Oryctolagus cuniculus: one gene and its partner. Each later gene encodes a partner of the first gene's protein in a complex. Links are inferred from orthologs where the notes say so. Each region holds a gene or a part of one and is shown in the gene's direction. Other genes may lie near its edges. The genes, in order: GABARAPL1 and STBD1.

What was found.
Region 2: the proteins of GABARAPL1 (region 1) and STBD1 are in contact, whole or in part, in a crystal structure (PDB 8X8A), measured with the Homo sapiens proteins. The link is inferred for Oryctolagus cuniculus from reciprocal best matches to the Homo sapiens genes GABARAPL1 and STBD1. Residues at the interface, in NP_113600.1 of Homo sapiens: Glu17, Ile21, Tyr25, Asp27, Arg28, Pro30, Val31, Ile32, Lys46, Lys48, Tyr49, Leu50, Val51, Pro52, Asp54, Leu55, Gly58, Gln59, Phe62, Leu63, Arg67, Phe104; in NP_003934.1 of Homo sapiens: Glu201, Glu202, Trp203, Glu204, Met205, Val206, Pro207, Arg208, His209, Ser210, Gly213.

Annotation. Positions count from the first base shown.
Region 1 is NC_091440.1:106,915,037-106,919,392, forward strand, and holds the start of GABARAPL1 (gamma-aminobutyric acid receptor-associated protein-like 1), read left to right. Parts: upstream 1-1,522; 5' UTR 1,523-2,467; coding exon 2,468-2,557; intron 2,558-4,356. UniProt on the Homo sapiens protein: Ubiquitin-like modifier that increases cell-surface expression of kappa-type opioid receptor through facilitating anterograde intracellular trafficking of the receptor. Involved in formation of autophagosomal vacuoles.
Region 2 is NC_091439.1:89,583,167-89,587,512, reverse strand, and holds the start of STBD1 (starch-binding domain-containing protein 1), read left to right. Parts: upstream 1-1,275; 5' UTR 1,276-1,436; coding exon 1,437-1,623; intron 1,624-3,473; coding exon 3,474-4,255; 3' UTR 4,256-4,346. UniProt on the Homo sapiens protein: Acts as a cargo receptor for glycogen. Delivers its cargo to an autophagic pathway called glycophagy, resulting in the transport of glycogen to lysosomes.

The DNA of each region.
Region 1 (4,356 bases):
TGTGCCAAAACTCCCATCCCAAATGTGAGTTTTTAAAGTGGCATTTTCTCTGGTTAAAAGAGGAATCTGAAATGTTTTTATTAAATGTGTTAATTTATAAATTAGCTTCCGTATAACATTTTAAATGTCATGCTGAGAATAAAGGTAAGGAACACACTTTGGAAACTGACAGATTGTGTATTCTAAGATAAGGCATTGGCCTTTAGAAAAGTTGTGGCAGAAAGATTAACCAAAATTTCATCTCCAAATTAGTTTTTACATATTGTATAAGTTGCCTTTGTGCTTGGATATTTTTAAAATAAAGGTTAAAATCAGCATTTCAACTAGCTACGATTGTTCCCAACAACACTCTTAGCATTTTAATTGCCACCATAATTACCTTTCTCAACTGGATGTAAAGCAGTCCTCTAAAAGATTTACCTAGGTTTGAGTCAAAGCTAAAATGAATGAGTGGCAATTAAACTAATTGCAACTTGAAAATAAGGGCTGGAAATTATATACAATGTGATAAAATGATATGAGGATTTTCATATATTAACAAAAGAACAGAGGCTACCACTGTGGCAGAGGCTTATTAAGCTGCAGCTTGCCATACCGGCACCCTCCAACAGAGCAGTGGTTTGAGTCCTGGCTGCTCTGCTTTCCTTCCCGTTTCCTGCCCAAGTTCTTGGGCCTCTGTCATCCAAGAGGGAGACCTGGATGGAATCAGAGAGCGGAGAAGCAGAGAGTGAGAGAGGTCTTCCATGCACTGGTTCACTCCCTAATTGGTTACAACGGCCGGAGCTGTGCCGATCCCAAGCCAGGAGCCAGGAGTTTCCTCCGGGTCTCCCACATGGGTGTAGGGGCCCAAGGACTTGGACCATCTTCTACTACTTTCCCAGGCCTTAGCAGAGAGCTGGATTGGAAGTGCCACAGCCGGGTCTTAAACCTGCGGCCATATGGGATGCTGGCGCACTGTGGGGCAGGGTGTTAACCCGCTGCGCAACAGCGCTGGCCCCTGGATGGAATTATTGGCTCCAGACTTTGGTTTGGCCCAGACGGGGCTGGTGTGGCCATTTGGGAGTGAACCAGCAGGCAGAAGCTCTTTCTCTCTCCCTCTGTCACTTTGCTTTTTGAATAAATCTTTAAAAAAAAGTTGACAAATGCCATGGGAAAAAGGAATTAACAAGACCAACGGGACCAACGGGACTATGAAATTCGTTTTCTTGTTTCGATAATGAAAGTTTCATTTTGTGGGATTTTTGAAGGCGACGCTGATAGCCCTTGTCTAATAGTTTTCAGAACTCACAGACTGGAACACAAGGGAACCCTTCCCCTCTCTTCTTTGCGATCTCTGCCGCCCTCTCCCTACAGACTCCAGGGATCCCCGGCCAGAGCAGGGCTGGGCAGGTCTTGGGTCCCGAGGTCGTGAGGCAAGAGATGCCTCATGGCACCCGGTACCTGAGGCAGTGCCTTCCGTTCACGCGCCGGGCCGATTGTACCCCGCGCATCTATTTTCCACGTGCGGTTTTGCAGAATTAAAGAAAAACAACAACAACCCAAACATCTGAGCTCCACCGAGTGAGGGGCCTCCACGGCTCCACGAGGCCCAGCTCCCGGGGTCCCAGGGGAAAGCGAGCCGTTCGCGAGCGTGAAGTCCTCGGAGCCCTCACCAACACCACCTCCCCGCACTGGGGCCCGAGTCACGCCCTGCTGACCGACGCTGCCATTCTGAGGACGGACTGCGGCGGGGACCAAAACAGGACGACGCCGACGACGCGGAGCGGGAAGGCTGCGGAGCCCGCAGAGGGCAAAACGCAACTCCGCGCCCCTTCCGCAGGGGCAAAAGGCATCCCAGGAGGCGCGGGACCCCGGCCCACGCAGGCTCCCGGTCCCAGGCAGGGGGGACCAGGCTGGAGGGCAGCCCTTTGTATTTGTTTTGGGTCCCAACCAAGAGACGCCAAGGAGGGGGATGGAGACATCTTTAGCCCGTTGTCTTAACTAAAAACCGTTTTTCATATCAAATCGCAGTAGAATACCAAGTATAACGCTTTCAGGTTTGCAGTGGGCTCCACTCGGGAAAAAAAAATCAGGCAGGGTCAAAATAAATAAAAACAAACAAGGTTTCTGTTCACCTCGGTTCCGCCGAGTCCGGAGCGCCGGGGGCGGGGCCGGGGGCGGGGCCTGAGGGCCTGGGCGCGGCTTCGTGACGTCACAACCCCTGCGCGCCGCTGGGGTGTTTTTGTGTTCCCTGCGCTTGGGCACAGCCGCCCGGGTCTCTTCACCTGGCCGCTTCCCACCTGCAGGCCGGGGCCCCGAGGTGCCCGTCCTGAGCGCTGGGCCAGGCGGCGTGGCAGAGGGCGCGGACGCTTCCGAAGCGATCCTGGTACCCCCAGAAGTTGGCGGAGGGCAGCGAAGCGCGAGAGACGCAATCGTCCGCGAGGGAGGCAGGCCCCGTCCGGGCGTCTCGGAAAACCTGCGGTGCATCATGAAGTTCCAGTATAAGGAGGACCATCCCTTTGAGTATCGGAAAAAGGAAGGAGAAAAGATCCGGAAGAAGTATCCGGACAGGGTCCCTGTGAGTGTCGTGGGGGCGGGGAGGATGGAGGGGGTCGGGGCCCGTGGGTGCGGGGCGGCGGGCTGGCAGCCCTGCGGCGCAGAGGGGGCTCCGCGAGCCTCGCCCGCCCGGGGCCGTTCGGCCTGCGGATCTGGGGTGGGATGGGGGGGGCTCGCGGCCCTAGCGGAGGCCGCTGGTTCCTGGCGGCAGAGCCCCTGTCTGCGGTGACTCAGCAGTATGGAGGGCTCGAGCAGGTGCAGGTGCAGGTGCAGGTGCAGGTGGGCCCGCGGTGGGGCTTGTCTGCCCGCGGTGTGGGCGTGTGGATGCGGGCCGTGGACGTGCCGCTGTTAAGCACGCAGCGGAATTGTGATGGGAGCCACTGATGCCTTGGGGTTTGCCTCTGAGGATGCTTCGCCTTTAATTACCCAAGTTGGCTTTGGCCCTCCTGAGCTCTGGGCCTGGGAGGTTCTTTCTTGATTTCTCTTAGAATTAGGGAGGGGAGGGCTGGGGACGCCACGAGACGGGCCTGGCCCAGAAAGCAAGGTCACGTTCTCTGCGCAACAGCCGCCTGCCTCAGCGTTCCCGGCCCCGGGGGCCCGTGGGGGGCGGGGAGCGGCCGGCCTGCCCTTGGAGCTGATTGTGATCCGATGGGGCCTGACACCATAAGGCGGGACTGAGGACTTTTTCTTTCGGATTTGGACACTGGCTCACGTCGCTAAAGCTGGTGCCAGGAGCGAGGAGGAAGAAACATGAAGCCATCTCTCAGCATCCGGGCGTTTTTCCCGTTGCCCCCTCCCCCGCCCACTTGCCCGGCTCTTGTCTAATGCAGGCTGCGTAGCCCAGGATGACTTGGGTGCGCGGGCCAGGGGCTGCAGCCCTTGGGTGTTTGGAGATGGGGGCGCAGAGTTTGTGATTATTTCCATCTTCAGACAGGGACGGTGGGATAAGGATAAGTGGGATAAGATGTCAAGAGTTGCCATTATGTGATGTGGCCTCTCCTGACTCACACGGACTATTTGGGAATTCTCCAATTCTTCCGTAACTCTCATGTTCTTACTGCAGCCAGAAGCAATCTGGGCTCTAGCCCCGCAATGGAAACTCTCTGGCCCTGCCATTCCTCAGCTATTTTGTACACAGTGGCTTTGGGCTACAAAGGGGAGCTAATCGTTACCCAGCGCCCTGTGTGAACCTGCCTCTTCCTGGACCTAGGGTGCTTGTTGTAAATGTTTCTCCCAGATCTAGCGATTCTGGAGGAATGAGGTTTAAAAACGGCAGCTAGCTTTCACTGCTGACTTACACACAGCAGGCCGCGTTCTCAGGGCTCTAATGTCATTCACTTAATCCTCACATTGCAATCCTCACTCTATAGATGAAGACTGGAACCATAGAGAGATGAAGTCACTCCCTAAAGACTTGACCTTGCGAGTCTATGGCACAGCCTGGATTCCAACTCTGGCCCTTAACCTCCCGTGCTGTTTGGTTTAATTTCTAATACAGTTCTGGCATTGTGCACCTCACACTGCTGAGTAGTGGAAATGTACTGTTGCTACCCTCAAGAATTCATAGGGTAGTCTGGTGCCAGACAGGGCACGCAGTAAGCAGAATGACTGGGAGCCTAGGTTCAGGTAGCTTTATATAGATGCACCTGCTCCTAGTTAGCATTCTCCTGTATTTTCTCAAAACAGCGCTTCCCTTTTCAGCCCTTTCTGTGCATCCCCCTGCCCCCCAGGATATTTCAGCTTATCCTTCTTGTTCTTTCTGTGCTTACAGTTTGGAGTTGGATGTCTTACTTTCTGATAACTAGTAAGCCATTCAGACCA
Region 2 (4,346 bases), on another chromosome or scaffold:
CCAGGTCGGGGCGATGCCTTCTGGACGCCAGGAGTGAGTTCGGATGGAAATGTGGACACTTCTCAGCTCGCAGCGCGGCAGGCGCAGGCTGCCCCTTTAGTTGCCTGGCGCTTCGGCTCGTCGCCACGAAACGCGGCAGGGTCTTTCTTCGCCAGACCCTCTACCAACCGCGAGGCCGCACGGTCTCGGTGCCCCCTCTCTGCCTGACTCCTCAGGGAGCGTTGCTGTGTGTCTCGTGACCATGAAGAATGAGCTACAAGGACAAGCAAGCAGTGAGCCCAGCAAGGCATGTTTACTGAAGAAAGCAAAGGAAGGTCTCCGGCTCCAGGCCCCGCCCGGCGAGAAGGGGCAACCTGCCCCAAACTACCGCCCAGAAGGCCTCCGTACCCTCAGTCCCCTCTCAGGCCGGCCTGGTTCCTGTTTAACGAGGTTCTGAAGGAGGAAGTTCACATGATTAGTTGAGCTATATGCTAATGCGGTATTCTAGGTGACCCAATCAGGGAGTCATCGAAGCCTGAATGTGATTGGTTCGGCCAGGAACCAATCAGCAGTGGCCTAACATGGCGCTCATGCACCATAGGGAAGGGAGGCGCATGCGCAGAACCAATCAGCAATGGCCTAAGATGGACTCCTTATTAGTGAAGTTAGAGGCGTGCGCTGGGCAGGCCGGTGGCGGGCAGGACGTCGGGTAGATGCAGCATCGGAGGATGATGCTGCGTGCGTCTCCCTCCTCGTCCTCCTTCGGGGCTCCTGGAGGGCTACCGCCCACGTGTTTCTCCGTTTCCTCCCTGTGGTCCCCAGGAGTGTCTTTATCAACACGTTGTGGCTGTGCGAGGAACAACGTGAATGCGCACGAACCCTCACAAAGGGTGGCTCTTTTCATTCATCTCGTTGGTTCGCGCTTGAACCTGGTCTACAGCCAGCTCAGCCCCGTGGGCACAGCCATGGCAGCTCCCGCAGGCCACACAGAGGCCGAGGCGGAAGCCAGGCCTGAATGAGGCTGAGAGGACTGGCTTTTGCAGCCCGAACGGCCCACGGCCCGTCCGGTCCGGTCCAGTCGGGCAGCGGGGCGAGGCGGAGGCCGGGGAGGCCCAGCGCAGGTAGCGGGGTCCCCCGGGGGTTCCCGGCCTCCCACGCACGGGGGAGGCGGCGCCCACCTGCGGGGGCCGGCCCGTGGCAGGGCCCGGCTGCGCGTGGTCGTCGTGCACACGCGGGGCGGCGCGCTCGCGTCCCCGCCGGGCCGGAACCCGCGGCGGCGGCGGAGTGGGGCGGGCAGTGGGCGGGGCGCGGAAAGTTGAGCGCGAGTCGCCGAGGGCTGGGCTGGGCGCCGGAGGGCCGGCGAGGAGCCGTAAAAGGCCGGGGCGGCCAGGGTAGGTGTGGCCCTGCCTTCGAGACCTGCGCCCGGGGCCGGCCGCCGCCCGTCGTCTCCCGCAGCCATGGGCGCTGTCTGGTCCGCCCTGCTGGTCGGAGGAGGTCTGGCCGGGGCGCTTTTCGTGTGGCTGCTGCGGGGCGGCCCCGAGGACGCGGAGCAGAAAGACGCCTCTGCCGGGGAGGCTGCGACTCGCGGAGAAGGGCAGGGAGGCGGCGGCGGACGGAGCCCCTCCAAGCTGGGCACCAAACCAGGTATTCGTCCCGCCCGGACCTGGAGAGCAACTCTGCGGGGGCTTTGAACTTGGCCTGGGTGGGGCAGGGCATTTAAGAAGCCCACCTGGCGCTTTCCTGGCGGCCCGACCCCACCCACGAGCTGGACCCTTCCCGCGCCCCGCCAGGTTCCAGCGCTCCAAGGAGGCCTTGGAGACGCCCCGGCCGAAGCTCCCAGGGCCGCGCCCCGCCGGCCTCGGCGCTCCTGCCCCTCCAGCTGGCCCGCTTGGCGCAGTGCGGGCGGTTGCAGCCGCGGCGCCCCTTCCCTGGCCTCGAGAGAGGCCGGTGGGAGCTTAGGGGGCCCCACCAGCCTCTGTCCGAGCAGGGACGTTTTCTCAGTCCCAGCCCCGCAGCCTCGCTTGCTCCGATCCCGCTTCCCCCGGGAGGGCTGGGTTTGGGAACACCCGTGCTGTGAGCGCCTCCTGTTCTCTGGACGCTTCTCTGGGGCCAGCAAAGTTCAGGGTGGACTTTGGCCGTGCAGGCGCCCAATTCAGAAGCATGGGCGCGCTCCCTGCTCGCTCAGCAGCGCAGGGGGCTTCACCCCCTGGGAAGCCACTCCTTAAGGGGGGGACTCCGTGCAGTCAATTGACATTTAGGGTGACACGGCCGCATTTCAGAAGACCGCAGGCTGGGCAAGGAGGGAGCGCTGGCGGAAAGCCTCGCTTTCCAGAGCCGTCCCTGGCGAGCTGCCCGGCCGGGACTGCAGCCTCATGGTGAAGTGACACCTGCGAGCTTCCTTCCAGAGGAGTGCGTTCCCGTGTCGCCTGGTGGAGACCGGCCCTTGCGCCTCTCAGCCCTGGTTGTGATGAGGAGAGAGGCCAGCCTCATGTTTTAGGTTGAAAAATTGGGAATTCTGAGTACCATTTGCTCTTGTGTCCCCACTAGCCCCACCATTGAACAGGGACGAAATAAAACAAGACTACTCTCCCTGACTGTATGATTCTGGAATTTGCTACCTTGCAGGGGGCTCTTTGGATTGCCAATGAGGCCGTCTAGGGGAGAGCTGGGTCTGAAGGGGCCTAAGAACATCCACAGCGTGTACAGTGGAGGGGACACAAGGCCCTGGTGTGTTGGGGTTCCTGATGCCGTCCCCCAGGATGCACCGTATCCCCCACCCCTGCCCCTGCCGTCTGTGACAGCAGACCCGTGCTACCCCTGGGAGGACACGTACATTCTAATGTGTCCGGGTGTTGTGCAGCGTTTTGCCCCGCCCCCGCTGGACTTTTTTTTTTTTTTTCAAAGAAGCTTCTAAAATCTTATTTGAAAAAGGGAAACTGGCAGAGACAGCTCCTGTACTATGGCTCACTCCCTATATGCCCACGAGGTGCAGGTGGGGTGGGCAAAGCTGGGAGCTGGGAGCCCTGTTCCGGTCTCCCCTCTGAGGGGCAAGGACCCAAGCACTTGAGCCATCACCATTGCCTCCCAGGCTCTGCATCAGCAGGAAGCTGGAGTCAGGTGCTCAGACCTGAGAGGTGGGTGTCTTTGAACACCTGTCTCTACGTGACACGTTTTGATGATCGGAGCCAAGCACTGGGACTTGGCTGAATGCCATCATGGCCTGTACTGTGGGAGACTGAGGACCACGGCAGGGTTACACTTCTGTCTTTACAGCTTGCCACTTCATTTACACTTTAGGGCTGGTGCACTGACACTCCTGTGGGTGCATTTTAGTGTGGGGCATGCATGCGGATTCTTAGAGTTGGGATTATACAGGGGCATTAAGTACCGGATTTCATTAAGCAGGAATTCTGAGAACTGCAGATAGGAGTAACGCCTGCAGTGACAGTCTCTTCTCCATGAGCTAACACTGCTACATTCTTTTTGTTTCTTAGAGCATCCTCAAGAAAGCAATGGACGCTTGATTTCTGAGACCAAAGACCTTGGGAAGCTGCAGGAAGCAGCCCGGCCACTGCAGAACCCTAGCAGAGATGCCAGAGAGCACAGCCCTTCTGGGCACGTGGCAGATGCGGGAGCCCCGGCCAGTTCTGCAAGCGCTCACTCCAGAAGTTCCTCTGAAGCGTCCAGAAGTGAAAGTCTGGAGTCTCCCAGAGGGGAATGGGGACTCCAAAAAGGACGAGAGGCACTGGCTGGGGCCGGAGAGGAACTGCCTTCTAGCAGGCCGCGGGTGGACAGGGCCCAAGAAGTGGGCCTCGCACAACCGGACAGCCAGGGGGTGTCTAGGCACTCCTCCTGGGGGGATGCTGGCTTGGGTGGTAGCCTAAAACAGGGAATGGACGGTGCCAGAAACTTTCTTGTGGAAGCAAGGGGTCGAGAAGTGGATGGGAAACCAGGATGGGCAGCGGCCAAGTCTGCAGAGTCCCGGCAAGTTAGCGTCAGGTTCCAGGTCCATTATGTGACGGGCACCGACGTGGCGTTCATTGCAGTAACCGGAGACCACGAGCGTCTTGGGAGCTGGAACACGTACATCCCACTCCACCGTAACAAGGACGGCTTCTGGTCTCATTCTGTTTGCCTGCCGGCAGATACGGTGGTGCAGTGGAAGTTTGTGCTGGTGGAGAACGGGGGAGTTACTCGCTGGGAAGAATGCAGTAATAGAGTCCTGGAGACCGGCCGTGAGGATCAAGTGGTTCATGGGTGGTGGGGAGTTCACTGAGTGAGTTTGCAGAGTATGAGATGCAGTGGCACAAGGTGGCGAAGGCTGAGACTGTGGGGCACACTGAATAATTTAAGATAATAAAAGCTGC